Lytechinus pictus: one gene and its partner. The main gene of each other region encodes a partner of the protein of the gene in region 2 in a complex. Links are inferred from orthologs where the notes say so. Each region holds a gene or a part of one and is shown on either strand. Other genes may lie near its edges.

What was found.
Region 1: trafficking protein particle complex subunit 8-like (region 2) and trafficking protein particle complex subunit 12-like share a complex: the UniProt entries of both Homo sapiens proteins name them as parts of the multisubunit TRAPP (transport protein particle) complex. The link is inferred for Lytechinus pictus from reciprocal best matches to the Homo sapiens genes TRAPPC8 and TRAPPC12.

Annotation. Positions count from the first base shown.
Region 1 is NC_087261.1:4,621,252-4,637,826, forward strand, and holds the start of trafficking protein particle complex subunit 12-like, read right to left. Parts: upstream 7,582-16,575; 5' UTR 7,424-7,581; intron 4,188-7,423; 5' UTR 4,139-4,187; coding exon 4,093-4,138; intron 2,953-4,092; coding exon 1,715-2,952; intron 1-1,714. UniProt on the Homo sapiens protein: Component of the TRAPP complex, which is involved in endoplasmic reticulum to Golgi apparatus trafficking at a very early stage.
Region 2 is NC_087246.1:37,671,707-37,688,001, forward strand, and holds the start of trafficking protein particle complex subunit 8-like, read right to left. Parts: upstream 7,569-16,295; 5' UTR 7,282-7,568; coding exon 7,119-7,281; intron 3,504-7,118; coding exon 3,306-3,503; intron 2,007-3,305; coding exon 1,917-2,006; intron 1,551-1,916; coding exon 1,376-1,550; intron 886-1,375; coding exon 720-885; intron 67-719; coding exon 1-66. UniProt on the Homo sapiens protein: Plays a role in endoplasmic reticulum to Golgi apparatus trafficking at a very early stage. Maintains together with TBC1D14 the cycling pool of ATG9 required for initiation of autophagy. Involved in collagen secretion.

The DNA of each region.
Region 1 (16,575 bases), on a different chromosome or scaffold from region 2:
GTAGTCTGCTATGCAGACTCTGAATGGCTCGTGAAGTGGGATCTGCAGCTGGTTTGCGAAGCAAACCAGCCTGAAAGGGCGAGCGAAGCGAGCCATTTCAGAGCCTCCAGTAGACCTAGTCTGCTATGCAGACTCCTTGAATCAGCTGTGATACACACACTGCAGATGTGGGTCTACAGTTGTAGACTAATATGTTAGTGCCCCTCCCCCCCGAGGACTTCTCCTAATAGTTTTTTTCTAAATTGATTCAGAGCCCTAGAATTAATTAGAGAAAAGGACACTACACAAGTTGTTACTAGTTACTCTTCACATTATCAGTATTATTTATGTTCAACATTTTAAAAACATGTTGAAATAACAATAATCAACAAAGTTTTGAATTGGCAATGCTGTACATGTAATGTATGTCTTCCCATAAAAAAATTGCAAACTTTTATTTGAATATTCTTCATCAATTACTATTTATTTCAGATACACAAAGTTGAAAATCAGGATTAACACAATATAAAACTGTTGCCTTTTAAAGGAATTAAAGATAAAATGACTTGAAATTAATAATCAATTGTCCAGAAAAGACAGTGCGTCTTAACAGAGAGAAACTAATCCTATATGTAAGTTGACCTCAACCAATCTTCTACACAGTGCAAGTTTTTTTTTTTTAAAGAATCCTACCGAATATATTCAAATCCAGCAGTGATAAGTTTGAAAAAAATAAAGCCCCTGTTCCACTATGCTGCCGTACTTTGGCAAAGGAAGCAAGTTACATATCATTTGTTGTAAATGTGAGTTCGTCATTTGCATAGGCATCAATGCAATTTAACAGCATATTTTCTTCAATATCTTTCCATATAACAATCAATTTCCCCCCAAATTTTGCCTGAACATGCAACATACAAAGGGTGTTTCAGAAGCACCAATAAATCTAATTTGACTGATGTGTCACTTGCTTCCTTTTGCCAAAGTTGGGCAGTATGCCTACGAAAAAAACCTTCAGATCGGGTAGGATCAGAAGGAAAATGAACCACTTTACCGGGAGTTAGTGAAAAATAATTTGGAGTAAAACAACTTTTCCAAAAGAACGAGTCTGCATGCCGCTGTTACTGTTAGTACGCCAGGAAAGACTTGATTATTCTCATCTCATGACTGCGCACCGTGTTGCTTAAATGCTTTTTCCGCTTCCCCCACCATTCAAAATGGGCGTTTTCTGATCGGGAAGACCGGCATGAAAGTGTGAACATGTTCAAATTTTTAGCGGAACACGCCAATCTGAATAACATGACCGCTTGTACCCTGTCTTCACGTTATTACGCTGCTCCTGATTTCAACAGATTCATATCCCGCTCTCCTGATTGGGATGGATCGGGGTTTCAGATCGTGAAAGTGGAATGGCCCATGAATATCAAAGTGACGAATATAACAGACACTTTTTGTAGACCTTTAGGGTTATTTTTATCGTAAATGTTGAGTACGGCAGATGAAACCTAGTAATCCCTATAATTTTGTGGGGAATTTTATTTAGTATGAATCCGATTGAATTTTGAATATGAAAATACATTCCACTGAGTTCTTGATGAGTAATAAGGGGGAGCATTTCATGGATTATGTTATTAAAGTAGATATTTGCAATTGCTACAATCTTCACATCTTATTGGCTGAGAACATTGGTCAGTGAGTATCACCGACAAAACTTTTCATGAAATGCTCCAGTTCTTACCTGTGGCTCTTCAACAATTATACCAGGCATAGTAAGCTGATCCCTGATCACGTATTCTGATCCTTGCTGAGCGATACTACGATTCTCCAAGATCCTTTGAGTGGCTTCTGATGGTATCCATGCATCGTGCCGACGATCACTCTCACTGGTTCGGAGTGCTTCCACAAATGGATCATCATCTTCTTGGGATGTGGTGGACTGAAACGGCACGTGTGGCCTGACATGGTTGGGATTGACAAGACCAGATGGAGCACTGAAGGATGATACAAGGGGTGGAGGAACCCCCAGCGAATCTGTTGAGTCAGTGACAGTATCTTCTTGGGAAGTGTGTGATAGTGGTGGTGTAGTGCTGGATTCATAAGGAGATCCCAACTGCGTATCAGGAATGGTATTATTATCTTCGGCACCAAAGCTTGTGCCAGCATCAATTAAGACCTGATCAGGAACAGTCTCTGGAGGTTTTCCTCCAGCAGCAGGAACATCCTTGACACCTTGGTCTGACATGGCTGCAGCACTGTGTATACCTTCTTCCATCACCATTGCCTCGGTCTCAGGACTCTCAAGGGAGATTGTCGTCTCAAGTCTTCCCTTCACAGATTCTATTTCTCCATCCGCCATCAGGTCATTCTTTGCTTCAAAGCTCTCATTCCCCTGATCAATGCTTTGATCATCTTTGTCCTCCTCTGACAAAAGGTTTGTTGAATCCATGCTCATTGTGTCCATATTACTCCCACTCCCCATCTTAGCATCTTCTTCAGTGAGCAGATTTGTGGAGTCAATGCTCACCGTCTCGCTGTTATTTCCAGCTATATCTACCATATTCGTTGGGACTACATCCGATAAGCCTAGAGGATCCTTCATAAACTCCCCACCTTCTGGTGACACCGGTGTCGCTCCAATGGATGAGGGTGGTGTTGAAAACAAGTCGTTCTCATCTCCGTGCGCACTGGCAAATGAATCAAAGAAGCTTCCAGAGCTCTGAGTCAAGCCCTGGTCTTTAGCAAAGAAGCTTGCTACTGATGGCTGCGTGTCCTTTACAACTGGTTCCTGCAGAGCAGGTTTGTTCTGACCCATTCCTTCCTCTTCATTTCCTCTTGTTTTATCATTAGATTGTTCCATATTGATTTGAGGTGTACAAGTAGGATGCTCCATGAAGGGACTCTCTACAGGAAAACTTGGTGAGGAGGGCTTGTTTGCTTCACTTTGAAAGAAAAGGCTTGCATCAAAAGGCTTGGGATCTGACAACAAATAAAAAAAAAATATGTATGACTATTAAAACTTAGATTTAATCATAAAAAGGAAATTATGAAATACACTATTAACACAAAAAGCAGTAGATAGTATTTCAAATTCCATATTCAACAAAGCACCTTGACAAAGACCTTTATCAGACTGCTCAACATGTACATTTCTTTGATTAAGGTTTTTGACTATTAAATATCAGAACAATATTTCATTTTTCTCAACTTCAACTTCCAACATGATGTTTGATTTGATCATCTAAGCCCCATGCTGAACTTTTTCATGTTCTAAATTTACTTCACACACATGATTATTTCTACTTTGTTCAAGTACATTAAAATACAATTTTGCTCTGTTAAGTAACAACTTTCTCAGAATAGACTAGTACTGTACATGACTTCTGGGATGGGGTCACAGCTGCTGAGCACCACGACACTCATCAAGTGCTATGTAATCTACTACATTGCATTATCCATTTTTGCCAACTAGTAGGATTTTTAATATCAATCATATTTTATACTAATTATGAATTGAAAATTACTAATATTGCCCTTATTCAAAGAGCTCCTAGAATTATGTTTTTTGTCTTAGTATTCTTTGTAGCTCACTTACATATATACATGTAGCAATCGCATTTGAAAAAATATCAATCTACATGAATAAATTCAAAATCAATTTCTTATGCAATTTAGTCTCGAATATCTATGTATATTTTTGCATTTCGACATTTCGCCTTACTTGACTTTTTTGGCAAAATTTCTTGCACAACCTTTTTGAAGAGTAATCATGCGACAGTATGAAAGTGAAAATAGTCATGCATGTATCCAATATTATTGACTTTGTACACAGAATCCAGATCTTTATTGAGTCATCATCAGTCTAACAGGCGTCTAGAAATAGGTGCAAAGCATGGTATCAGTACATGTATGCCTGACTTTTCTGAAAAATGGTTTTGAAGTAAGAGACAGTGAGCGGTACAGTCAAAAGATTACGCGTGGATGAAAATATTGAAGGGGGTGGGTTACTATCCCCCTCCCTCACCAGCCGTTTTAGGTTTAAATCGGTTCTCCTCCTGTTGTAATCTTTGAAGATTCTGCATTAAAGCAAAATCTGACTGTCAAGCATCTGAGCCATACCTGTTTTTGAAACATCGTCTTGTGCAGTTTTCTCAGTCCCAGCCATTTTATCATCCAAGTTTGCTCGATCATCAACTGTAGTCTTGCTGCATTTGCTATATTATTAGAAGAAATTAATGTTAAAGCAATGTCGGTTTAAGAAAGCCTAGATTTGTAAAATAATTTTGATCTATAAATTGTTCTTCAAAAAGGCATTTTGTAACATCGCTAATCGGATGTACGTCATCACAAGGCGGTTCAAGGGTCAGACCTATTGTATTTGCTTTTGTTGACAAACGGATCGAGGGATCTACACGAGATCGGTCTGGTAAGAAACCTTCAATTTTTAACATTTTTATTGACCAGTTTTTTTAAACCTTCCTACGCATTAGGCGTAGCCGTAGGAAGGTGTAAAAATAAATAAAATCACCACCATTTACATGATTTTTATCTTAAAAGATGGATTTCCTAGGGAAATCCATCTTTGTTTGGCAGTCTCTTATTATCATGATTATAGCCTAGTTATAATATATGGCCGGTGGTTCGAGGCTCCATAGAGCTCTAAAGAAGTATATATGTCAAAATATTAAAAAATATCAGACATGGAGTCCTCAAGGCTAACACCAATCCCCAGCCACGCACAGATGCAGTTATTCTAGATCTAAAAAAAGTAACAATAACATTTCCTTTTTTTTTAGGGTCACCAGCATGTGTCATCAGGAGTTAGCAAGGCATACCAACTCCTCGCCGTAATGAAAAGAACCTTCACTCAACTCACAAGGACAACTCTGCCTCTGCTCTTCAAAACCCTAAGACCCCACCTTGAATATGGGAGTGTCCTCTGGCACAACAGATACAAAGAAGATGCAAGGAGGATTGAAAGGGTCCAAAGAAGGGCAACCAAGCTGGTTAGAGAGCTGAAGAACGTCCCATATAAAGACAGACTTACAAAATTGAACTTGTACTCCCTGCTGTACAGGAGAAGGGGAGACATGATCTTCGTGCACCAGCAGTAGAGGCACACGGCCAATACGGGAGACTGTCTCCCATGAGAGAGATTATCTCCAATATCAGAGACTTTTGTAAAGAATTTGGGTATCCAATTTCAGACAGTCTCCAGTTTGGGAGACCAATTTTCTTTGTTTATATTTGCTGCAAAAGGATTACCTTGGCGGCATATAAAAATGTGATAAGCAGATTCCTCATGAAAAATTACCCCTTTTCACCATCTAGGCCCTACTTTAAAAATTCACTGTCTACTAGTCTATTGTTTTTATGAGGACTTTTGTTGTCATCCACACACAAATGGGCTTCCGACCTCCGAGACAAATTTTGGGTGGAAAAAATGATGCTTTTGTTGGTGTTGTTTCTTTTGTTCTTTGCAAAGCAAGTCTCCAATGTGGGAGATTGTCTCCCTTATTGGAGTCTCCCAATATTGGCCATGCACCTCTACTGACCAGAGCTAGGACCTAGATCTTTTAGAAGTAGAAATCTTGGGGGTGAAAGTTTCAGGTTTTGGCTTCCTTTGTGTGGGTCTATGAGGTAGAAGTCCTGGCTTCGTATGAGAGTAACCTTACGTTAGTATTATGATTTTTACTCTCTGTTAGAAGCCGCCTGGCTAAGCCTAGGCTAAGGCTAAGCCAGACTCTGTGTCAAATGTCATTTCGGTAGACCTTGTCCTTGCCTTGGCTTCATCGAGGTACCGTAATTGCATAATTTATTTTTCCCCTTTTATTTTGAGTGCTATTGCGACCCCATTTTAAGCCATTTTGAAGAGTACCCTTGTACTTGTCTGCCTAGTTACACGGACGACTCCTGGGCTCCAGCCCGGTAAGGAGTAGACCAAAAGCTTCAGTCTCTGTAATTTGGTTGTTCCGCTGAACTACGTTGGCTCCACTCACCATACATAGACTGAAGGGGATGGGGCCCCGTACCTACAGCCAACGTATAGTGAACTAGCGTTTTATAGATCGCGATTTAAAACTGTTTTTTAAGCAAAATTGAAAGTTTCATGGTTTCCATTATCAGGGAAATATAAATAAATTAAGTAATTGCATACCTTGGGCCGGAGTTATTGAAAAAAATCCTCTGGATGATTGAGAAATCTGTCATCTAAGACATTTTCACCTGACCTGACCGTTTTTCTAGCAAGTTGCCATCTTGAATGACGTCATTATCGTTATTAACTTAATGTCTCGAATCGATATATCGCGATTATAACTAGTACTAGTACTAGTATAACTAGTATCGTTTATCTTCGGTTTCGTTTGCATATGGAGCAGATCGTATAATATCGAAAGCAATATCGATATCACATTCGTGATTGTTGACGTTCGTTTGTAAATATTTTATAGTTTGGCTGCCATTTTGACCATTTTTATCGTGTTCAACCCAATTAAACATCGGTAAAGTATATTTTTCATGCCTTTTTCATCTATATCGTTTAAAGTATTTAAATATTCGAATATCAAGGTCTAAAAGTTTGTTGTTTATACATCCTTAGATTGTAAATTCGATGTGTAAAATTACATCAAACTTTGGACTGTGAATTGACAAAAGGGAGGGAATGAGAACACATGCGAGCCCACACGTACACCCTACCGTCGGTAAATGGGGATTACAGTAAAATGTCAGAAATTGTTGAATAAATCCCCAGAAACGACGGTTATTCCTGTCTAGGTAAGGAGTAGACAGCTGGCAGCCGTCTGTTTCGAGGAGTTTTTTAACATTTTATTTTTTTTTAATTTCTCCTCATACACAGACGGCTCGCTAGCGTGCAGCCACCATTAGGGGACTTGCAATGCAAAATCCCCCCGTCGGGGCTCTTCAATTTTTGTCTTTAATGAGTAAAAATTTTGAAAATTCACGCGACCAAAATGCAAATTAATATTCCCTCTTGGCATCAATTGCCAAAAAACTGAGAAAAATCAAGTTAAAAGGAACAAAAACAGTGACTTACCTCGGCTGTCGCGCAAATTCACTTCCCCGTTTTATCCGATCTTAAGTACATAAACATATGGCCATTGAGTCCCCTGTACAGATCGCGCTAGAACTTCGGTCTCTGTATTTGGTGAGTGAAGCCAACGGAGTTCAGCTGAACAACCAACATAACACTTAACAGAGACCGAAGCTTTTGGTCTAGGTAAGGAGCTGCGCTGCGGGCGGGAGCGAGCTCCCTGGCCCTGGGCCGGGTTACCGGCAAGTGCCGCGGAGTGGTACGGTACCGGTACGTTAGGGTTAACTTAAGTTAGGCGTCCTTCACTCAGTTCAGTACAGTTTTGGGGAGTCATATTAAGTTACATGCGAGTGGGGTACGATAGATATAACTGTTACCATATTTGATTTGACTTACCAGCTCGTTTAAAGGGGTTATTTCAGTCTTTTAACGTTAATTATTACCGATTTAATTAGAATTTGGACCAAATCTCCGGATCTGCGTCGGGAGCAAGTATTGTTAACGTTCCAGCTATAGAATTGAATGCTGCCCTCTACCGGTACAACGTTCGCGTTAAAGGGGAATCCAGCCTTGGTCATAAAATGTTGTGTTGGAAAGAAGAAAATGAATAAAAAAGAACGGTGAAAGTTTGAAAGAAATCGGATAAGCAATAAGAAAGTTATGGCTGTTTTAAAATCGAGATCCCTATACTATGTAGATTTCAAATTGGCAAATGAGTAAGAAAATTATGACAAGGGGCAATGACAACTTTCTCATAGGCCATTGTACTTAATTATCAGGGATTTGCGGTTTTCTCCTAAGTACCCTTTCCCTTGGGGCAGTAATCTAAATATGACCCAGGTAGCATATTGTTTTATGTCCTCATGAAAGAAAATTACAATTTGAAGTATGACTTTTGAAAATAATGACATTTTAGCCATTTCGTGTATTTCAGTACATGGAAGAGTAGTCCTTGCCTTAAATCACTATGACATCATATATGCGGCCAATTTGAAGTCTCCATGGTATAGTGAATACCAATATTTACAGCTTTTAAATAATCATAGCTTTTTTATTGTTTGTCCAATATTATTCAAACTTTCACCTATCAGCTTGTCTGAATTTACTTTTTCCTCTAAAAACAAGTTTTCATTTGGGTTGGATTCCCCTTTAATACTTAGGCATCATATCACAGGCCTAATTCATTTCCCATAGACTCGTGTGTTAAAGTGGCACTTTAAAAAGCATTCTTAAAAAAATAAGGAGGAAATTCGAGGGTTAAATGTTTACTATCACTCGATAGGATAAATGTCTGACATTCCATATCTGACCAGAAAAGGGTACCTCGACCGGCTCATTTTAAAAATAAATCAGCATTTATGAAGACTACACCTGACGGGATCTCGACTCCACCGACAGGACCCGTAATTCTGGTACGGGTGTGGGAGGGGGCTCTTCTTCTTTGCCTGTCTCTCTTTCATTCATTTCAAATCAGTTTTTTCTATCTTATCACTTCTTGATCACATAAATCTCTCTCGCTGTTTACGGGTCAATATAACCCCAGAAAATATATCTTAGGCCACTGAGATATTGGAATTGTATAACTAATCTTTACAAAAAAATGCAGATTTTTTTGGTGCTTGGTACACTAGCTGAGAATTCAAAGTACCGAAAAACTTATTAAAACGTTATCCCCTCGTTTGTTAACAATTTTTTTTCGGCATTACTCCTATTTGTTTAAGATCAGTATGCTCGATCTGTAAATGAAAATCATAAGATCAGTATGCTCGATCTGTAATGAAAATCATATGATCATAAGTCAGAAAAAATTGGAACCAGTGGGATTCGAACCTGCCATCTACTGCTTTCCGGGCAGCGACTCAACCACCAGGCTATTCTGGTTCACGGCTAAGCCACGATGAACTGGAATTCAAATACCCTCGATCCTCTTCTTTCTGACTCATTAATATTCAAATACCGTCCGCCGTGGACAATAGATAGTAAATTAAGAGGCTTTTTTATAGGAGGAAATTATAATTTGTTAACAAATTTTCGGCATTACTCCTATTTGTTTAAGATCAGTATGCTCGATCTGTAAATGAAAATCATAAGATCAGTATGAAAATCATATGATCATAAGTCAGAAAAAATTGGAACCAGTGGGATTCGAACCTGCCATCTACTGCTTTCCGGGCAGCGACTCAACCACCAGGCTATTCTGGTTCACGGCTAAGCCACGATGAACTGGAATTCAAATACCCTCGATCCTCTTCTTTCTGACTCATTAATATTCATTAATATTCAAATGCCGAAAATTTGTTAACAAATTATAATTTCCTCCTATAAAAAGCCTCTTAATTTACTAGTTATCCCCTCGTGTTATAATGTTTTTATTTTATATAATATCTCATAGATCGTCGATCAACAAACTTGTCGTTTTCGGGAAGTAATCCCCCTATTGTTTGTTGATATCTTATACCTCAGTTATTTTTTGTTTCACATGTATTTATTTTTTTAATAGAAAAACAAGAATAACTGGATATGAGAAGTCAATTTTCACCAACTTGCCCCACTGCCTCCTTAAACTTATTGAAACTTATTGAAGCATGAAGGAAGCTGACAAAATTAGAAGATAGACCTGGAAGCTCGACTGCTAATTCAGCATTCTTCCAGTATTTGCGGTAAGGTAAGGTAAGGTAAGGTAAGAATGAATATAAAAGAAATTAAAAAATATAAATATAATGATACTAAATAAATTGTCACCCTAATTTTCTTACAGTGGGTGGCATAAATAGTCAATATCATGACGTATTGCCCATAAAAACAAGCAATGGAATGAATGTCATCATAGAGATATACACTAATAACTACTCTATAATCTCTATGGGTCAAATTCATCACTTGAGAGAGTAAAATGGCCCTAATTCTTCCGCCAGCAAAAATAGTTGGTAGTGATATATCTTTCCAATTTGGAAAAAGCAAGTTCAGTAGGTACCCTCCCTAGAATCAGTGTTAGATTGTCAATCATATTCATTCATTTTCGTCAATCAGCAATATCAAATTAAAAAATTTATTGAGAATGGGTTGGGTCGAATGAACATTTTTTGCCTGCCGGTTGTAATTTGATATGAAATTTTGATTTGATTGAAATTTTGCAAGAAAACGACAATTTTGTCGGATATTTCATGTCCCGCAAAACCTCGTCATCTAGGGCACGAGTGACGACATAAAATCACAGTGCTATGATGGTTGCAGGCTGAAGATAAAGAAATAGGCCTAAACCATAATATTTTCCACATCCTACAAGAAAAGCTCTCAATTTTTTTTTGTAACAAACCCAGGTCGTACCTGTATTCAGAGTCATTTCCCAACGTACATGTGTATTTGAAGAGCTCACTTGCAAAAGAAGTTAGGTCAATTTTTCATCAAATTTTATTTTTTGGTCTCAATATATAGATTTTTAGTAGCTATATACATGTAAGATGATACCAAAGAAAATTCCCATCAAAAAGTGAACTAAAATGGCAAAGAAAAATCACTTTTTTTCAAAAGGGGTTAGGTCCATTTCAGTTTGGTTGCAAAAGGGGTTAGGTCGATCCACACAGATTTTTTCATTGGAAAAGAATATTTTAAAAACTATGAAGACAGGTAGATATTTCTTGTTACACCCAATTTTACATTCTCATGGTAGGGTATCATGAAAATTTAGTTTCGCATAAGATAAAAAAAAACGATTTCCTTGGAGTGGACTCCCTTTTGCATGTTTTGCAACCAAATTCTTTTGAAGAGCTCATTTCTCAAAAGGGGTTAGTTCCATTTTTCATAAATCTTATTGTTTTCTGTCTCAAAACCTCTAAATTTTTAGTCGCTATGATGATACCAAAGAAAATTTGAAATTCACATGAAAACGTGAATAAAAGCGGCAAAGAAACATATATTTTGTAATAAAAAAGGTTATGGATTCATTTCAGTTTGCTTGCAAAAGGGGTTAGGTCCGCAATGATATTTAAAAAAAAACATATAGAAAAATTTGAAGACGTGCAGGTATACCCAATTAACGATAGGGTAGTACATCTTTACAATTTTGTTTCTCATAAGAATATTGCGATAAGTGAGAATAAAAACGTGGCTTTTCTCGGAGTCTAACCCCTTTTGCAACCAAACTCTTCATTTGAGTTTTTTCAGACGTGTATATCAGTATCAATCGGATATTAGGCCTATTTACGTCTGGGACCTTTAACGTCGCCATCCGAAAGACGTGACCGGGGCTCGAACCTCTGCATCAATATTTGTAACTTCCCCACATACAGTAAATGATATAGCTTGGATTAAAGGCGCATGCCACAACGCCCAGTTAAAGGTCAAGTCCAGTCCAGAAAAATGATGATTTGAATAAATAGAGACAAATCCAACGAGCAAAACGCTAAAAATTTCATCAAAATCGGATGTTACATGCACATCTCAGTGACATGCAAATGAGACAGTCGATGACGTCCATCACTCACTATTTCTTTTGTTTTTTATTCTTTGAATTATACAATATTTTATTTTTTACAGATTTGACAAAAGAGACCAACTTGACTGAACCATATGGTATTATAAAATGTTAATTCCACATGTTCAGGGAGGAATTAATCTTTGTTTGACAATGAGGAGAAAATTTGAATATTTCATATTTCATATAATAAAATACAAAAAAATAGTGAGTGGATGACATCATCAGTCTCCTCATTTGCATACTGACCAGGATGTACATATAATTGTTTTGTGAAATTAAGCAAAATTTTAAAATGTCATAACTTTCTTATTTTACACCCAATTTAGATGAAATTTTCAGTGTTATGCTTGTTGAAATTTTCTCTTTTTATTCAAATCAACTAATGGTGGGGTGGACTCGTCCTTTAAAGGAGAATGAAACCCTTGAAACCAGCTGAATCCATATCAAAGAGAAAAATCAAAGAAACATATTGTTGAAAGTTTGAGGAAGATTGAATGAATAATAAGAAAGTTATGAGCATTCGAATATTGAGATCACTAGTGCCATGTAGATCCTCCCAACGGCAATGCGACCAAGATCTGTGATATCACACACGTACAACTCCCTCATTACTTTAGTACTTATTTCACTTATATTCTCACTTTTATAGAGTCTCTATCACAAGGTGAGGTGTTCTCTTTATGAGATGACAAGTACAGAGGTTTCACAACATTATATCATTGATGAATCGTTTGTCATATGATTAGAATGAGCAAAAAAAGATGTTTTGGGGTATATTTTCGGTGTCCAAATGGGAGAGTTGTACGTGTGTGACATCACAGATCTTGGTCGCATTGCCTATGGGAGGATCTCCATAGCATTAGTGATCTCGACATTCAAATGCTCATAACTCTTTTATTGCTAGTCCTATTTTACTCAAAGTTTTGTTGATCTTATTCTTTGATTTTTCTGCTTTCACAAAAGCTAACTTGCTCCAAGAGTTTCATTCTCCTTTAATGCCGAACTCCCGTATTAGATAGCTTGTTATCAGGGGTGTCGATCCATTTTTTAGATTGGGGGGGGGGGGGGGGGCAAAATCATGAATCAACGTTCCAAAGGCGCTCGATCACACAAATCAAACAACCCCCACACACAAAGGCCTATACATTATATATATATGACTCATGAGACAGAGACACATATCTCACCAACAATTAATGCGAGTGCGAGCTGAAATTTTTTAGTGTACTGACCTGAAAAACCGGAAAATGTGCCTGTTTAGGACTATTTGTAGTAACTCATGAGGAGGATACATATATTTCTACTCATATAATGCGATTGCCGAGAGCGAGCTGAAATTTCTGTATATTCTGACCTGAAAGCTTGATATTCTAAGCATTTTTGGGTACCAATGATTAAGATGGGTATCTAAAACAACAATAGATGTGAGCGCGAAGCGCGAGCTGAAAATTTTGATATTTCGATCTGAAAAAAATTGACAATTTAATGGACGTTTTTAATAAAGAACAGGATATATATCCAACAAAAGATTATTGCAAATCGAAGCGGGAGTTCTTTTGAGGTTTAGAACTGAAAATGGGACATTCTATTCACCTATTTAATCATGAAAAGTATGGATTTTTGCTACAGAAATGATGCGAGCGCGAAGCGCGAGCTGAAAATTTTTATATTCCAATGTGAAAAAGCGGGCACTTTGAGCACGATTTTGAATAAAGAACGAATTGTGTATCTCAATCTCGCTTGCTGATTTCTGTGTAACATTACAATCTTATTTTATTTTTGCACATACGGAATTATTGTATTAAATACTGGGGCGATCGCCCCCTGCCCCCCAGGTTCGAGGCCTCTGCTTGTTATTAATTTTGATGGCATAGTTAGAGAGAAGATCGTAATCGCTAGCAAAACATATGGCTCTATCGCGGATGGGATGTGGTAGGATAGGCATATTAGACCAGCAACGGTCCGAGCCGTCATCATCTCCGTAACGGCTGTGACGGAGATGACGGTTACGGAGCTTGCTTTTTTCTTACAAAATGACAATAGAGAATGAATGTGAATTTTGTTAATCATAATGCCCTATAATATCCGGTGCTAATACTTTAATTTTTCATCATATAAAAGATCTAATCTTAATTTAATCAGGGTAACATTTGATTACACAACATCTACGTCACGAATATATAAGTAGACGATTTAATTATCAAATATATTACTATAGAACCTGTAAATCGGATTATAGTCTTTGCATCCCCAAAGTTAAAACAAATTATGGGAAAAGGCGATTAAAATATAGAGGTGCAATTGCCTGGAATAATCTTACAAATGACTTAAAAGGAATAAGGTCCACCTTCAGCTTCAGATCACGACTAAGACTCCATTTAAATGAAGCTACCATTACGAATGTGCTTTGATTAAAGCTTTAATCAGACATATTGATTGAGATTTATATAATGATTTCACTTGGGAAGGGCGGGAAACAAGCGGAAACAAGGAATAATGATTTGTATATTTTTAGTTGTATACCTATGTGCATGATAACTGAATTTCAGTAATTTATATCCCACTTGCACTCTGTAATGTTAATTTATCCACTTTAGTTGTTTGTATCCGTGTAAATTTTTTTTTAAAGGACAAGTCCACCCCAACAAAAAGTTGAGTTGAATAAAAAGAGAAAAATCTAACATGCATAACACTGAAAATTTGACCAAAATCGGATGTAAAATAAGAAAGTTATGGCATTCTAAAGTTTCGCTTAATTTCACAAAACAGTTATATGCACATCCTGGTTGGAATGCAAATGAGGAGACTGATGACGTCATCCACTCACTATTTCTTTTGTATTTCATTATATGAAATATTCTAATTTTCTCCTCAATGTCAAGTGATACAACGTTTAATTCGTCCTCAACATGTGGAATTAGCATTGTTTAATAATACTCTATGGCTTAGCCAAGTTTGTCCTTCTTGTCAAATCTGTAAAAAATGAAATATTGTATAATTCAAACAATAAAAAACAAAAGAAATAGTGAGTGAAGGACATCATTGATTGTCTCATTTGCATGTCACTGAATTGTGCATATCACTGTTTTGTGAAAAATAGTGAAACTTCAAAATGTCATAACTTTCTTATTTTACATCCGATTTTGATGACATTTTCAGTGTTATGCTAGTTTGATTTTTCTCTATTCATTCAAATAAACATTTTTCTGGGGTGGACTTGTCCTTTAATGAATTACTTTGTTTGCTTAAAAAAAAACTATGATAATTTTTGTGTATTGAATATTGTAACACGGCCCCTTTGAAAAACAGCATTGCTGAATGGGCTTTTAACCGTGGTGAAATAAATAAATGAAATGAAATGAATGACGGAGATGGCATTTTGATTTTTTCTATAGCTACAAGCACTGAAAATTCAATGTTGATAAATTTGAATAAAACCTCCCCGGATTACGTCCAATACTTATCAAAGGCGATATGCAACATGATTTTCCCACTACACGAAAGATTGTCCATTTCTGAAGAACTTTTTTCACAAGTTTTTAAGGTTCAAGAGGAGACACTTCTCGGAGAATCGCTCAGCCTTAAAAGTGGTTCAAGGACGTTTCATGGTTAAAATGAAATCTATGTCATTTTCACCCAATTTTGCACAAAGATACCTTTGCACCTACATGAATAAAATAAAATAATTTTGCATTTTTAGACCCCGCGAGATCACAACGTGGGAGTTTTAACCTATAATATGCAGTCAAAATCCATCTAAAGAAATAAAAATTTATATAACAAAAAAAAAGCAAAAAGCTGCACTTTATTCAAAACCCATGCCAGTTTCACTAAAATTTTGCAGGATTGTATAGAAAGGTATACTAAAGAGGTGTGGATATTGGATATTGTGGGTTCATGTGCTTATTTTCAAGATATCATGATCAGCACTTGGGCGGAGCAAAATTTTTAAAAATACCTACACACGCAAAAAACCGCGTCAAAATCTCCAAAGAGTAAAATTGAATCAGTGACCAATTTGTATTTTAGGGGGGGGGGGGGGCTTTCTGGACCCGGTCTCCCCGGGTAGGCGAAAAGGCGCCAAAAAGAGGAAGAAAAGAGAAGGAAAGAAAAGGAGGGAAAAAAGAAAAGAAAAAATGGGGAAAGAAAAAAGAAAAAAAAAAGAAGAAGAGGAAAGGGGAGCGAGTTGATGTTCGGCCTAGGGGATGCTAAATTATTGTTCTACCTAGGGGCGCCGAATTGATGTTTATTTATTTATTTATTTATTTATTCTCGAATATTTATACAGAGTGGCCTGATCAGCATTAAAAAACATACAATATACGAAAAACATAGTAACAGGTCATTATGAGATACAGAAAAAAGGAACAAATACAAAGTAAAATACGAAAATATGTTACGAGTTACAGATGGCAAGATTATAAATACGCAAGATATTAACATTAAAAGCTGGTCTACCTCAGGGCCCTGTGATTATATATATACATGAATATTTAAAAAACAAAAAAAATGACAGATCGTTAAAACATAAGGCAATGTATCACACAGTACTAATACATTTAATTTTGGAATTAAAAAAAAAAAAAAACAAGCAGAAGACATATCGCATCATTGGAAATTTCATCACTAATATACATCGAGATAAAAAGAAAGAAAAACAAAACAAACAAAACACGACACGCTTTAATGTCTAAATAATAAGTGGGAAACATAGAAAGACAAGAAAAGAGCAGCAATCAAGATTAAGAGTACTTTAGGAACGGAACGGACAAGAGAATAGTGGGTGATAAGTGTATTGTATACTGATTAAAATGAACGATATGATTTGTCTATATGTGTTTAAGTTGGTATTTGAAAGAATATACGGATTTTGAAAATCTTGTATGGTCAGGCAGCTGGTTCCAATTGAAAGAGCCTAGAAACAGAAAAGATTTTTGGTAAAAGGTCGTACGACATTTTGGCAATCTCAAGAGCAATTTGTCAGAACTACGTGTGGTTCTCGTAGAGACATCATCGACAAATGAAAGTCTATCGTATAAAATGGCGGGCGATAATTTGTTGACACACTTAT
Region 2 (16,295 bases):
CTCTGAGACCTGATCTGGAAACATGGCTGGATCACTGGCTGGTACCGCATCTACTTCAACGGGTTCCTAACAATAATAATAAAACAATTACTCAGTCAACTGTAACGTATCTCCCAAAATTGCAAGATTCTCTTTGACGAAGCTCAAACCTTTTCTAGTTCTGAATATATTAGCCACATTCATGAACAAGACCACAAGTTTTACACGGGTTTTATGATTGCTACCAGTTAGTATTCAGTAAGAAATACAGGGCTTCGTTTAAGGACGGTAGTCATTCACCGACAATTATCAAAGAACGGTGCATCTCAGTCAGATGAAAATTTCATATGATTTCCCAATGCAAATGACTTGTCTATTCAAAATGAAATATTTTCCCATTGGAAACAAATAATTGCTAACACTATTCCCAAAATAATTCATGGATACTCTTCTGGCTTCATTTGAATTTCACAAAATGAATAGTCGAAGGCTTTCTGAGATGCTAATCTTCATGCATTACAATCTTTCAACACATATCACTTTAAATGATAGGAGTATATTGAAATTAGACTCGCAGCCCATAGCATAAAAAAATACTGTAACTGTACTGTTCAATATTAACTTCCATGAAATGTTTGATTTTTGATTGGCTTTTGAGCCCTGTATGGCACATGTAATTATCATTGGATAGCAGAATTAGTGACTTTTATGTTACGGGGCCCTGAACAGTTTTGACTAACCTGTTGGTTGACTTTATTTAGATACTGACTCCACGGATCAGGCATTGAGTTCTGTTCAGCAGTTACCGATGGATCTACAGTAGTCAGTGCTCTAGAATTGATCCTTAGAAGATGACATGCATGACTGCCGTAGGTAGACTTCATGCTCTGATAGATTGCATCAGCTCTAATCAAACAGGAAAAATGAACAATGAAATAAACGTATCTATCAAACCACTTCAACAGGATAAGGGTTTTTTTTTCAGTGTAGAAAGTATCTTTCAAGATTATATTTTCAAATATGTTCTGACTTATGTAAATGCATGTGTGTAAATTGATATTCAATATACAGTGTACCACTTACATTAACACAGCAAATCCATACTGCCTAAATTATAATCGAACTCGTAATTGATGAACCTCACCCCCCCCCCCCCCACCCATTGAGAATTGTGCAGATGCACTATGGATTCTTTTCTGGGAATTGGTTGAAATATGATAGTTTATATATACAGTATAAATCATGCAATATTCAGAAACTATGTTACTACTGCAGCAGTAATCTCTCCCAAAAATCAAACAAATCAAAACTAAACAAGGCTAAACAAAATTAAAAGAATATAAACAAGAACAAGCAAACACTCTTCTTCGTTCTAGTAACTCTACGTGAGACTCACTTCTCCTCTTCTCCTTCTGAGTTATCATGAAGCAGGACATAGTATTTGAAGATATTAGGACAGAGCCACTTAGGATGTGAAGCTGATGATGTGTGTTGAAGATGATGTTGCTCTTGAGATAACTTGACAAACTGATCCATTGGATCTGCATGACCTGTTGATACTACAAGCATACCTGTGGTTTCTCCATTAAGGAAATAATGTCATTTCACATCTACAAATGATTAAAAAGAACATAATATGATTAATTTATTCTTTTTTCTTACATATAACAGATCACCCCCAAGAGATGCTGAAGGAAATGTATTATTTATAGTTGACTACATGTAATGCACTCAAATGCACTTTTAATCCCTTTATCCTCAGTATCGCTTGTTTTCCTTTGATCAAGTCATACTCAGTCGGACCAATCCCAAGAATATCCTCTCTAAAAAGCAACGTGTTAAAAGTAATAAGCAAGAGGCAAAAGAGCATTTTGTTCAGGCGGTAACGGAGAAACCCCCTCAACAAGTCACTCACATTCATGACTGAGAAAGGATACAAGCCACAAAATGTCTGATGAATTCATGGTCACAAGTTGCCATGCTCTGCAAAACACTTTCCCTATATGCTTCATACCATGGAGTGGAGGCTGTGGAAACGAACAAAAACAATTCAAGAAAGGTATGAAACATTTGGAGGAAAGGGATATACATGTACTCTATAAACCTCGGTTTGTATTAATCAATTAATCATATCTCTTACATTACATTACACAAACTTGTTTAAATCTATTCAAACATAATATATACAGTATATATGAAAAGTGGTGCAAAATAACAGGTGGTTCACTTTCAGTTCCACTGTACATTGTAGGGGAACTAAATGAGTATGTGCATTCAAAGAAGGGAATTATGCATTTGCTACGTCAAAATTATATTTAAAAAAAAAGCATTATAATTGAATTCACTCAATATGTTTGAGACAAAATGTGTTTTAACAAACAGATGAAGAGACATGAAAAAATTGTAAGATTTTTAATGTGACAATCAATCCTTTTATCTTTTTATTGTTCATTGGGTCCACTGTAATTTTTTTTGGGGGGGGGGTATTATGTTTTGCTTTATTGGTCCTTTCATTTCAAAATAAACAAACATTCATAATATTTAGAATATACAAAAGACATCCACATATAAAAAAACAAGTCTAACATACAATGAAATAAATAGAAATGAAAGTGAATCACATGGAACAGATCATTGGGCCCACTGTTCCAAGCATGCAAGTGAACCAAGTTCATTTTGGCACAATATTTTAAAAACAATAATGTTCAGAGATGCATGGGTCTTGAAATATTACCAAAGTACCATTTGGTTGCTAGGAAAATGGACTTTAAAAAAAGAAATGATATGATTTCTGTCTTCACTGATTTACCATCTCTCAAGAGAGAATACATCTTCAGCCTTGCTCACACTAGGCGATTCATTGCAATCCGAATTTCCAAGAAATTGTGATAACATTTGATATGGACATTCCAACTAGTAAAATCTTACGGATCAGAGTTCAGAACAGTAGTAGGACTACTGAAAGCAAAATTCAGTCCAGTTCGAGCCTCCCTGAATAAATAAAAACAAATTCAATTCCAAATCGTAATGACGTCATCATCTGCTGCAACTTGAAGCCGATTTGGACTTTACTCCGACCACAGGGGTTGCCGCAAAGTAAAAGTATGATTTCAGTATTCCTAACATCATGCCAAATTGTAAATAAAATGATTTTACTTCTTGGAACTTTTACATTTAATGCAAAATGCAATTTCTTGAAAAATAACTTTGCATCGGATCGCATAGTGTTAGCCTGGCTTACTATACATGCAGTAGATAACTTAAGTCCATAAAGATCAAGAACCTTTACACTTGACTTTACATTGAAATTGAATGAATAAACTCACCACTAATTTGCAGGTCATAGGAACCTACTGTCAAGACGTTTGCTCTCCCTTCGGTAGTAGGGACTTGTGAATTCTGCACAGCATCATAACAGAGTTTGCGATGAATACCAGCTGATGGAGGCTGTGTGTTCATGTCATTCACAATCAATCTTAGGTTATGAATAGAGTGAGGCTGACCAGCTGGGTCTCTAATGTGAGCTGTGAATGAGAAGCAGTAAGGGAATTATGTTTTCATGATAATGCAGCTTTGCCCCATCTCTAGACACAAAATCCACTGTATGGATAGATAAAATCCATTTTTATTACTATTATGTATGAAATTGAATTCAACACTGTTTTTCTGTGGATTTACAATGGTCTTTACATAAAAGGGCTCCAGGCTTGAGGCAAACGAGGGAAGAGGAACAAAACGTGTTAAGAGACCCATGGCTTAACTTAAAACTTGTCTAGATTAAGAATATTCTTTTCTTAAATGGACCACGTATATCATCAGCCTGCCCATGTCCAACTAAAGACAAGATGGGGGTGCCCATGTCTAAGAATCTAGAAAAAAAAAAATCCAACGACACATTCTGGCTAAATTTGTTACTATACCCAATAACCATTATAACTGCCAGACCAAGTGAATATTTATTGTCACAATGCACTACTTTCAGCTTGGTCTAATTTGAACTTTTATCAATTTTACAACTGAAAAATTACTATTAGTATTGGGAATCAAAGGTGGGATTTGAACCCATGCCATTACAACAGTGCAGCTTAGAGATCTGACCCCTACACCTTAAACCACGAGCAATTCATGGCAGGTTGGAGTTTTCTAAAGGTTTTATACCAAACCACACTGTATAATTCTATACCTCAACATCTAATCTATTCTAGGTAGGATTCTTGACAATTTGATTGCTGGGAATATTTGTTAATTTTTACCCACAATCTCCATAAAAATGTAACCCCCCCCCCCCCCTCTGCTTGGCAAGAGACGAGTGTGCTTTCGCATGACTGTCCGAATGAAGCAATATTCCACAACCTGCTCATTGGTGTATAAGCCGAGGCCATGGAGGCTGCCTGGCTGGTGCCAAGTTGGGCCGGTTGCAGGGAATTTGTGGTTCCCTTTGTGTATTCCTTTGGGCACCAGTCCAAAAGCACACTAGCCAAGTGCATTAATCCCCTTGAAGGACAGCGCCAGGCTCCAGCTCAACCTCAGGCCAGGTTAGGCTCCTACATGCTAATCAAAATTTGTGAAAGGAAGTTCACCCTGAAAAAAAATATCAGTGAAGGTTCGAGGAAAATCCATCAAAGATCAAGAAAAGTAATATTAGAATTTTGAGTTTTTGATATGTGATGTCATAAGCGAGCAACTGCCCCAATGTTATAATATAAATATGCATCTTAGTTCTTATATCTAGATCTACACTAAATTGTCAATTTTCTTAAGTTTTTAATGTTTTGTGACTTCTTTTTCTTTCAGCAGCAGGTGTGAAATAATTTCCCTATTGATATAGATTTAAGGAATAATAAAAACAATTTTTAATCTTTTTTAGAAAATGAAATTTCATTGATTTTCAGTTTTAGTTTTACCAATTTTTTAGATCTAGATCTAGACCTCTACTAGACTATATCTATATCATGATCATAATTTAGATCTAGGGTCTGAATCTGAATGGTTGGGTCAGTAAAATGTCTTTGACGAACACATCGACACCAACTTGTTGAGAATAGCGCACTGTTTGGAACAACTTTTTTCTATGGCTGTTTGCATAGACTCACTTAGGTCCAACCTTTTTAGGCCTAACTTCAGTAGAGGCGCTGGTCCAAAAATTGGGACTGGGGTTTCCAGTATCTGCAGCTGATGAATCTGTGTACATCCTGACAGACATAATGCCTTAAGTGAAGTTAAGTCTTCTGGTTATGAAAAAGAAGCTCTTGCTTTTAGGACAGATCCTGAACGTTGCCCCTGATAGAACAGAATGAAGGCTATTTCTTCATAGCATCTGTGCCAAACACCCCTTCAGTTCAACAATGGTGCCTTGTTCTCAGGATGCTTAATCTTCCTCCGTTAGATGAGCTTTTGGTAAAAACCTCCAACCTAAAGCCTTTGGTAACACATGGTGGTGTTAGCAGTGACTAGAACATCAGAGTCCAGGCAAAGTGAGGCTCTCTCTGTAAGAAAAGTTCACTCTCATTATGAACCAGAAGACCAAAGCCTAAGGCTACTGACTTGTATCCTGGACATATAGCTAATCCCACCCTGAGACCAGCTATCACCATCAGAGCCTAGATCTCATGCAAAGTTTAGGCCAGACTTGTCAGAATTAGAAAGGGTTCTGATGACATCTGTCAACCATGTTCCTAAATAGAGAAGATGTTGAACACTGTCTCATCCTGTCCGGCCACTGCACCTGTGCCCCGTGACCTCATCAATCGCATTAAGGACAACGACAATACCGCACAATTTGCAGGTTTATTTGAGGCAGACCCCCAGTCCTTTCTAGAATGTATCATCCTCTTTCTTCCCCCTGTACGCATCAGCAGTGCCAGTAAAACCTAGCTCCACACTCTTATTTTATACTTCATTCGCAATCTTCACACAACTCACCAAAACCTTCTCAGCAACCTAACTCTAGCAACCCATAGGAAGCGTCTTCAGTCATTTTTTTTTACTGTTATCAGCGATCTCCGACATTAACGGAGGAAGGAAACAAGAGATTGTCCCGGAAAAAAAAAAGGATATCCTCAAAAACCAAGACAAATCATGTCTTGATAAATTGAGATTGTCCTTGTTTATTATGGGGACAGTTTTTTTTTTCACTTACCCCTGTGGGACACAGATGGCAATTACGGGGATTGAGAGTGCTAAAAATAGATTCAGTGACCTCAATAACCCCTAGATCACTGTCTATTTTTCACGACTTGCCATCTTCCAAGTTCCAATAATCTTGTTATGAAACCTAATGAGTTTACATTGACTAGCGCACTCAATTGATGTCAGCACTTGACAGGTGAATGAAATTTTCCTAGATTTCTTGTGTGGAGAAATCTCTGAAAACTAAGACAAGAGAAGAGTGAGACAGTCCCTGAAAACTGGGACGATCCCAATTTTCTGACCAGCGCCTCTACTGAACAGAACTTAAGCAGTTGGACTCTGTCATGATGTCACAAAATGACAAATCAAAATATCAATTATCAGTAGAGGCGCACGGCCAATATTGGAGACTGTCTCCAATGTGGGAGATTATCTCCAATATCAGAGACTTTTGTAAAGAATTTGGGTATCCAATTTCAGAGACAGTCTCCAGTTTTGGAGACCTATTTCTTTGTTTGCATTTGCTGCAAAAGGATTACCTTGGCGGCAAATAAAAATGTGATAAGCAGATTCCTCGTGAAAATTACCCCTTTTCACCGTCTACTTTAAAAATTCACCGTCTACTTTTGTTTTGATAAGGATTTTTGTTGTCAATCACACACAAAACAAATGGGCTTCTGACCTCAGTGAAACAAAATTTTGGGTGGAAAAAATCATGCTTTTGTTGGTGTTGTTTCTTTTGTCCTTTTGCAAAGCAAGTCTCCAATGTGAATGTGGGAGATTGTCTCCCCTATTGGAGAGAGAGTCTCCCATATTGGCCGTGCGCCTCTACTGATTATCATAATTCTAACTTTGGATTTTCCTAAAACCTTCACCGATATTTCATTTATACAAATTTTTGTCAGGGACAGGGTGATTTTCACAATGTTAATCATATTCATAATTCATTTCACTTTTTTGTTTTTTTCAATTTAGGCCTAGATCTAATTCATCATGAACAGGAGGAATACCTTCTGAAGTTAGTCTGCAAAATGGCCTGACCATTTCCACAAAAGATAAATTGTTCTTTTGTGCAAGAACTTCTGCATCATGACTGCATGCAACTGCCACAGTTGGTCCAAAAGTGTTCTGAATAAACTCCCTGGCACTTTGCGAGCACTGCGCCATTCTCATTGAATCCGGCGTCTGATCCCGAGACAAACACAAAACTCAAACTACACTGCACAGCTTCTTCTTGTCCTCCTTGCTTTGAAAGTCAACATATAAATTATGATAATCACCACATGTTATCACATATCCGTCTGATATCATCAAGCCTAGCAATCTCAGCTCTCCCAGAGCCAGTATTTTCCCCTTTCCCTTTTTTTGCACAAGTTCAGGCTCAGCTATGCCTATGATCATCCGATGAAACAGGCAGTCGCCATTATTTTGCACTAGCATACGCCACACTTCGCTACGCCAACGGGTGAGGATAGGAAACACCACATAAAAGAATGTAAAATAGGGAACCAGCGAAAAAAAAGTTAGAAACGAACGAGATGGCGCTTTTGAGTTTTGTTTCAAGTTCCGTTACAGTCACTGAGATTCTAATGCCACTGATTGCCCATTGCCTAATTAAAATTAGACAGATATTCATTCGTATATTATTGATGAGATGTTGATACACTAAATACATGTATGTTTATGTTTATGACGAGGTCTGGGGTCAAATTTTGAAGAAAACATGGACCAATGGGAACCAATTAGCAGATATCATCGCTCCAATTAAGGGGGGCGGGGCAGATTAGTCCACTGTTTTCGGCTGCTCAAGATCTTGGTTGGGGTATTTCGAAGTCCTAAAGACTTGAACATGATGATAACGTTTTCTCTATTTCATCCTCCCTTAATTTTATGTTAGTTTTTTTTTGTTTTTTGCCCCTCATCCCCTGTCCATTGCGGTGATAAGGCTAGGGTTGCAATATTCCAGCTATATAGGGTTGAAGTTTGTCATCCATAGTGTTTGAAATTTACAGCGGAGCCGGGGCAAATGTCATATAGAATTATGGAACCACTATGCGATCCGATGCGACGCGATTTTTTTTCAATAAATTGAATTTTGCATTAAATGTGACATTTCCAAGAAGCAAAATTATTTTACTTGAAATTCGTCATAATGTTAGGAATTATAAAATCATAATTTTGCTATGCGGCAAGCCCTGTGTTCGGAGTTTTGTCCAACTTCGGCTCCAAGTCGGAGGCGATGATGACGTCATTGCGATTTGAAATTGATTTTGCTTTATACCTACGGGGAGGCTCGATCGAACTTGACTGAATTCCGATTTCCTATCACAATTCTGAATTCTGATTGTTAAGATTATATTGGTTGGAATGTTCATATCAAGACTGTTATTGCAATTTCTTTGAAATTCGGATCGCAACGAATCGCATAGTGGGCTTTATTCATCCTTTAATTGCCATTCATTTTTTTTATCATTTCACGTGTTCCCCTCTCTCTCCCGCTCTCGATCCCGCCTATAGCATATCATGTTTTAAGGGCCTATTTTCTCATTTTCTTTCAGTACCTTTTCTTTCCAATGTTCCTTCACTTTCCTTCATTCCCCCATTCTTCCGGTTTCCTGCCGCCTCCCCCCTCTTTTTTCCTCCTACCCCCCCCCCCCCCCCGCGGCTCTCTCCCTCTCTCTCTCCCTCTCTTTTATTAGCCCTACTTTTTTTCCTTTCACCCTTTCAGAGTCCTTTTTCATTAGTCTGCCCTGAGTAGGCATACTTTTCATTTTCTCCGAGTCTAATTTCCCTTTAACTGGTGAATTTGAAAAATTCTAAATGAAAATCCCTCAGGGGCAGTAAATTGTCCATGTCCCCTCCAACGTGGGATGTTGCTATACGCTACTGATAATAACAGGGTATATTGCAGAAAGTGCTTACCAATGCATTCTACAAATAAAATTACATTCATGATTATAAAATTATGGTTACCGAAAATTATATGTGTGTGTGCGTAGGGAGGGGGGTGAGGTGGGTTTGTGAGTGAAATAACCCCAAAAATCGAATTCAAAAGAGAGAAACAAAAAAAGCTCTTGAAATGTTAAAAAGGGCCTACTAGCGTACCTAAGGGGGGGCAGGGGGCAAACTGCCCCCCCCCCTGACGAGTCACAGGCAAAAAATAAAAAATAAAGCGAAAAAAGGGAAAGAAAAGAGAAAAAAGGAAAGAGAGAAACAAGGGGGAAGGGGCAAAAGAAGAAAGAGTTTCAGAGAAAGGGAAAACAAACACTGGACTGCATGCAGACTGTCGGGAAAAAATGATAAACTCACGACGTCGCCAATTTCGTCGTGAATTTGTTTTGCTTGCCTGGGCGGTATGCGGGTTGAAACCAATTCGTCTGCTGCTAATTCCTCCACTCACAACAGGGTCTACCTTCATTTAGTCTAATGCAATTTTGTCCATCAACTTTTCGCCTAACAACCATATGGTCCAATAACCATTTGGTCCATGTCATCACTTCGTCTAATCACCACTTCGTCTATAACCATATTTCGTCTCATGATAACTAGCTGGTCTAATATCAATTTTATTTTCCTTAATTTCGCCCAATTAACTCTTAGTCCAATTAGACCAAATGGCATATGGACTAAATGGCAATTGGTCCAACTGGTTATTAGGCGAAATGGCAGTTAGACTATGTGGATAGTGGACGAATTGATGGTAGACCTAATGATAGCAGACGATCGAGTTGGCATTAGATCAATTGAAAATAAACCATTGAAACGACAGAACGATGTCCACTGCTATCCATATGCATAGGCGGATCCAGGGGGGCCCAGGGGCCCAGGCCCCTCCCCCTACTGGCGGAGCAAAAAAAAGGGGAAAAGGGAAGAAAGAATTAAAAAAAGAGGAGGGAAAAGAGAGGAGATAAAAAAGAAGAGGAGGAAGACGAGTGAATAAAATAAGATGAGGGGAAGACGTGGAAATAAAAAGAATCTTTCATGCCACTATATAAAATTTTCGCTTGCGCTTCACGCTCGCATTGCCTGTTAGGTGATTTTCATATCTTGTTCCAGGGGCTGATCCAGCCTTCGCCAATAGGGGGGGGGGGGCGGAATTAAATTGTGAGGTGGATAATAATAATAATAATGGATATTTAGAGGCGCTAAAAACAAAAAGTACCATAGCGCGTACAATATATGAATAATAATTTAACATTTGCAATAATTACTACAATATTCAAGATAAAAAGGGAAAGTAATTATTGAGGAAAAAGGATATGGATCGCACTTAATAAAGAGTTGATATTTTTCATTATAATTACTTTGAGTTTTGACATAGGACCGGCACATCCTTACACTGCTAGAAAATTTGAATAAAAGAAGTTCCTGCAGCAGAGTCTCGAGAACACCTGTAATCTTACCAGATTGCGTAATCTTACAGGAAATTGGTATTTGGTGTATGGAACTTTACAAATTTCCTTAAATAAAACAGCCTTTTCCCCTTTTTAAACAGACCTGTTCTATTAAATTGCAGAAAAAATCCTGTTTTATGAATTTACGGAATGATTCTGTTATTGCTTTTGCAAAATCTTCTGTTTTTTCTGTAAAATCAGGGCTTTTTTTTAACAGTGTAGGACATGTCATCATATGAAAATGATGACTGTCTTCCTATTACTCTTGCTAAGCGCGAGATGAAACAAAAGGGACAATTCAATTATTAAATTAATATTTTATTCATTAATGCCTAATGAGGGCGCGAAGTCTGATGATATTATGGCCTGAAAACTGGACATTTGAAGCACTTTTGTAACTATAAATAGGATGCATCAGTCAATATATTTCTAACCATTAATGCGAGCGCAAATTGCGAGCCTTAATTGTCATGAAAAGGGGAATGTACATGTATAATCAATATTGAGACATACATTCAAAATGCGAGCGTGCAGCGCTAGCTGATACGTTTTGACAATCAGACCTGAAAAGGGATATTTTGAAAACTTTATGGAATACACGAAAATAATAGGTACCTGATGAATCGAAATTTGCGAGCGCGCAGCGCTAGCAGAAAATATTAATATTCAGACCATAAAACTGTCATATTTACAGAGCACTTTTTAAAAATCAATATGTAAATCACGCAAAAAGATGAAAGTTTGATTCTCGAGATGAAATACGTTTTGTATATTGACTTCCAAACTTGATATTTAAACTCCGTATTGAACAAGATATGAAAATCCCCGAACAGGCAATACGAGCGCGAAGCGCGAGCGAAAATTTTATATAGTGACATGAAAGATTCTTTTTATTTCCATGTCTTCCCCTCATCTTATTTTATTCACTCGTCTTCCTCCTCTACTTTTTTCTCCTCTCTTTTCCCTCCTTTTTTTTTATTTATTTCATCCTTTTTCCCTGTTTTTTGCTCCGCCAATAGGGGGGGGGGGGGGCTGTGCCCCTCGGCCCCCCTGGATCCGCCTATGCATATGGATAGCAGTGGACATCGTTCTGTCGTTTTCAATTGGTCTAATGCCAACTCGTCTGCTATCATTTGGTCTACCATCAGTTCGTCCACTATCCACATGGTCTAACTGCCATTTCGTCTAATAACCAGTTGGACCAATTGCCATTTAGTCCATATGCCATTTGGTCTAATTGGACTAAATGTTAATTGGGCAAAATTAAGGAAAATAAAATTGATATTAGACCAGCTAGTTATGAGACGAAATATGGTTATAGACGAAGTGGTGATTAGACGAAGTGATGACTGGACCAAATGGTTATTGGACCATATGGTTGTTAGGCGAAAAGTTGATGGACAGAATTGCATTAGACTAAATGAAGGTAGACCCTGTTGTGAGTGGAGGAATTAGCAGCAGACGAATTGGTTTCAACCCGCATACCGCCCATCAGGCAAGCAAAACAAATTCACGACGAAATTGGCGACGTCGTGAATTTCGTCGTCAATATTCAAATTGGCGACGTCGTGAATTTCGTAGCCAATTTCGTCGTGATTATTCGCGATTTGGTCTATTTGTGATGTCCCTTCAGGCACTAGCGTACCTAAGGGGGGGCAGGGGGGCAGAATGCCCCCCCCCCCCCCCCACAAGCAAAAAAAAAAGGAAGCGAAAAAAGGAAAAGAAAAAAGAAGAGGAAAGAGAGAAAAAAGGGGGAAAGGGGAAAAGAAGAAAGAGTTTAAGAGAAAGGGGGAAAACAAAAACTGGACTGCAGAGTGCAGACTTTTTTTAGTTCCACCATCTTTGTAGGTAAATGTCAATTAAACTGTACACTTTTATCGGTAAATTGTGATTTTTACGCAATGCGACTTTTAGAGCTCTCTGTACCGATAGTGAGGACGGACTGGGCTGACCAGGGACAGGAAAAAGTTAGAGTACAACTTTTAGGTAATATAATTATAACAATAAAAACTTCGCGCGTAGCGCTCGCATCAATTTTTTTGTTGGATACCTATGATAAATGTCTAGCTTTCAGATTGAAAATACAAAAATTTTCAGCTCGCACTTCGTGCTCGCGTCAATTGATTAGTCAGAAACCAAATGTTCACGGTTAAAAAAAGTGCTTATAATATCCAGTTCTTAGGCCGGAATATCAAAAATTTCAGCTCGCGCTTCGTGCTCACATATACTGTTTAGATATATCCATCCTGTTCATAGTTAATGAAGTGCTTAGAATGTCCGGTTTTCAGATAGGAATATAAAAAACCAAAAATATATCATTAGAAACCAATTTGTTCACGGTTACAAAAATTGCTTAGAATATCAAGTTCTTAGGTCGGAATATCAAAAATTTCAGCTCAAGCTTCGCACTCGCATAAAATTTCATCCTGTTCATAGTTAAATGAAGTGCTCAGAATGTAAAGTTTTCAGGTCGAAATATAGAAAAAATTAGCTCGCGCTTCGCGCTCACACATATTAATTGTTTTTAACTACCATTTTGTTCATAGTTTAAAAAAAAAGTGCTTAGAATGTCCTCTTTTCAGGGAGGAATATCTCGAATTTTCAGCTCGCTCTTCGCGCTCGCATCAATGAATTATTCAGTTAGAAACCAATTTTTTCATGGTTACTAAAAGTGCGTAGAATATCAAAAGTTTTAGCTCGCGCTTTGCGCCCGCACGACTGTTTAGAATCCCATCCCGTAAAACTGTTTAGAACGTCTAGTGTCCAGTTAGGAATATCAAATTTATTATCTCGCGCTTCGCGCTCGCGTAATTACCTATTCATCGTTTTAGGTCTAAATTTTTCAGAAAAAATTCAGCTCGTGCTTCGCGCTCGCAATTATTATTTTTATATTATTATTTTTTAACTTAATTTCAATGTCAAATACCTCTTTTATAACGTCTCCAAATGAAGAGAATTGGGAACATAATGTAAACACCTTCAAAGAGGAATAAAGAAGTATTTTAATATAAAAATTGCAATTACCACTTAATTAGAAATATATCGATCACGATCCAATACATTTCATTTCTGGATCACGATCCAATACATATCATTTCTGGAATGATATACAAAAAAGAATTAATTTCGACATTACAGTGCAATCGCCCAATAGCAAATATCAGTAGTAGCAACATCCCGACTGTTTTACCCCCTGGGTCCAAAACGTCCAAACGTGTAAGGGGGTGGGCTGCAAAATGCAGGGCAACGAGGACTGCGAGGTGCCCAAATATCCTCGTGTATTGGTAATTTTATGACCGAATGTTTAATTTCTGCACGTTTCACATCATGTAAAAAGGCTAAATAATAATTGAAAAAAATGTTCGCTCGCTCGAAAATTAAAAACTGTGAAGTTGATATTTGATTATCAGCCCCTTTAAAAAATTGTGCCTATATACGTCCATGCCTATTACCCCCCCCCCCCCACCTTGCTCATCCTTGTCGTCTCCCCCTGATGAAATTGCCAGGAACGCCACTGCCTTCAGGGCCACCACAGTTTTTACAAATGGAAAATAGTACAGAAAATTTGAACTAGCACCAAATACGATTTAGTGCATGAGACAACAAAAAAATCGCACCCAAAAGAAGGAAGTTTAGGTCAAATCTGTCCATTATATAAACCGAAGTTTAGAACCCAAGTTTAATAAACATCTTGGCGGTGACTCAACACCCATACTTCTCTTCGGGAGTTTGTTTATTACCCTTCATAATGTAGTGTTAAAAGAAATATAACGAATAGTCCGAATAGTAGTGAAAAGACTGGAAACACAAAAATATTGAAAGACATAGATTTGAATCTGAAAATGCGCGCCACTTCCCAAGCTCACTCTCTGCGCTAGCTCGCATTTCCTCATTTCTCCTTCTAAAAACCCCCATTTTCCAAATTCAAATTCTATTCGGTTTATTGCATACAAATTTCAAAGAATATAGAAAAATGCAGGGGAAAAAACAAATAGGCCTACTTGCGAATTAACAAAATAAATCAAATAAGAACTATCAAAATTATTGAGAGTAATTATATAAGATTAAACATTTCATCGTCGGTGATAAATAAGTTTGCATTTCCTGTACAGGGAGGTAATAATGTGCTCACGAGGATAACATGGAGCTTTGTATACTATCCCATTTTAATAGGCACAAATTATTTTGCTATTTATTCGATTTTTCATTGCATTTTGGTCATGCTTACAAAAAATATCAAGAAGATTTTTCATGAATTACAGCAAACATTAATTGATTTAAGTGTTCCCTTTTCAGGTCAGTATATCAATTGTATTCATCTCGCACTCGCATAAAAAGTTAAGTAAGATACCCATCCTGTTCATGATGATTGCAAAAAGTGCTTAGAATGTCAAAATTTTAGGTCAGAATATAAAAATATTTCACCACGTGCTTCGCGCTCGCATCAGTTATTTAGATAGATACCCATTTTGTTTACGGTCACAAAAAGTGCCTGGAATCATAAGTTTTGAGTCGGAATATCAAAATTTTCAGCTTGCATAAAACGTTTAGTTAGATACCCATCTTGTTCATGATTACTGAAAGTGCTTAGATCAAATATCAAAAATTTAGGTCAAAATGTCAATTTTTTCAGCTTGCGCTTTGCGCTCGTATACATTTTTTTGTTAGATACCCATCCTGTTACTTCATGATTATCAAAATTGCTTATAATGCCAAAATTTTAGGTCAGAATATAAAAAATGTTCATTTCGCACTTCGCGCTTGCATCAATTGCTTAGATAGATGCCTATCCTTTTCATGATTACTGAAAGTGCTATATCAAAATTTTAGGCCTGACTGTCAATATTTTTCAGCTCGCGCTTCGCGATCGCATTCGCGCTCGCATCAATATAGATACCCATCATGTTGAGGGTCACAAAGCGCTTAGAATCACAAATTTTGATTCGGAATATCAAACAATTTTCAGCTCGCGAACGCGCTCTCATCAATAGATTATGCATTCTTTTCATGAATTATTGAGTCGGAATATCAAAAACTTTCAGCTCGCGCTACGCGCTTGCATAAAGTTAGATACCCGGCCTGCTCATGATTACCATAAGTTTTATAGAAATGTCCAGGTCAGAATATAAACATCTTTTTTAGCTCGCGCTTACATACACATCCTGTTCATGGTTGAAAAAAGTATCTGAAATGTCCAGTTTTGTGTCGGAATATCAAACCTTTTCAGCGTAAAATGTTTATTTAGAGCCAATCCTGTTCATGATTCATGTTCACGGGGGCGCCATTTTTTTTCTCGAAAAGTTAACAGGGGCACCTAAATCAGGTCGGGCCCCCGGGTGCAAAATCCTGGATACACGCCTGCCTTATTAGATATCTGATCTTGTTTGTAAAAAAAAACTCAGATGTACTTTAGACTTTAGTGGGGACTACCCCCTAAACAATTTCTTTTTAATCAACTTTTTTTTTCACGGCCAAATTCTTGTAAGAAAACTAAGAATAGATATCATGATTGAGCATGCATGGGAGCACATCGACCGTGCAAGAAATTTAGCGTTTTTAGAATGCAGAATTAGGCCAATGAGGCTCTTTGAGTGCATTTAAACATGAATCTAAACATTTACAGTAGTATTAACCATTTGATGATTTTTTTTTCAAGAAAAAAATCTAGAAGAGGCAAAGAAAAGGAAAAAAAAAGAAAGGAAAACAGGAGGAATGAAAAGGTAAAATAAGAGGAGGAAGACGAGTGAATAAAATAAGATGAGGGGCACTAGCGTACCTACGGGAGGGGGCAGT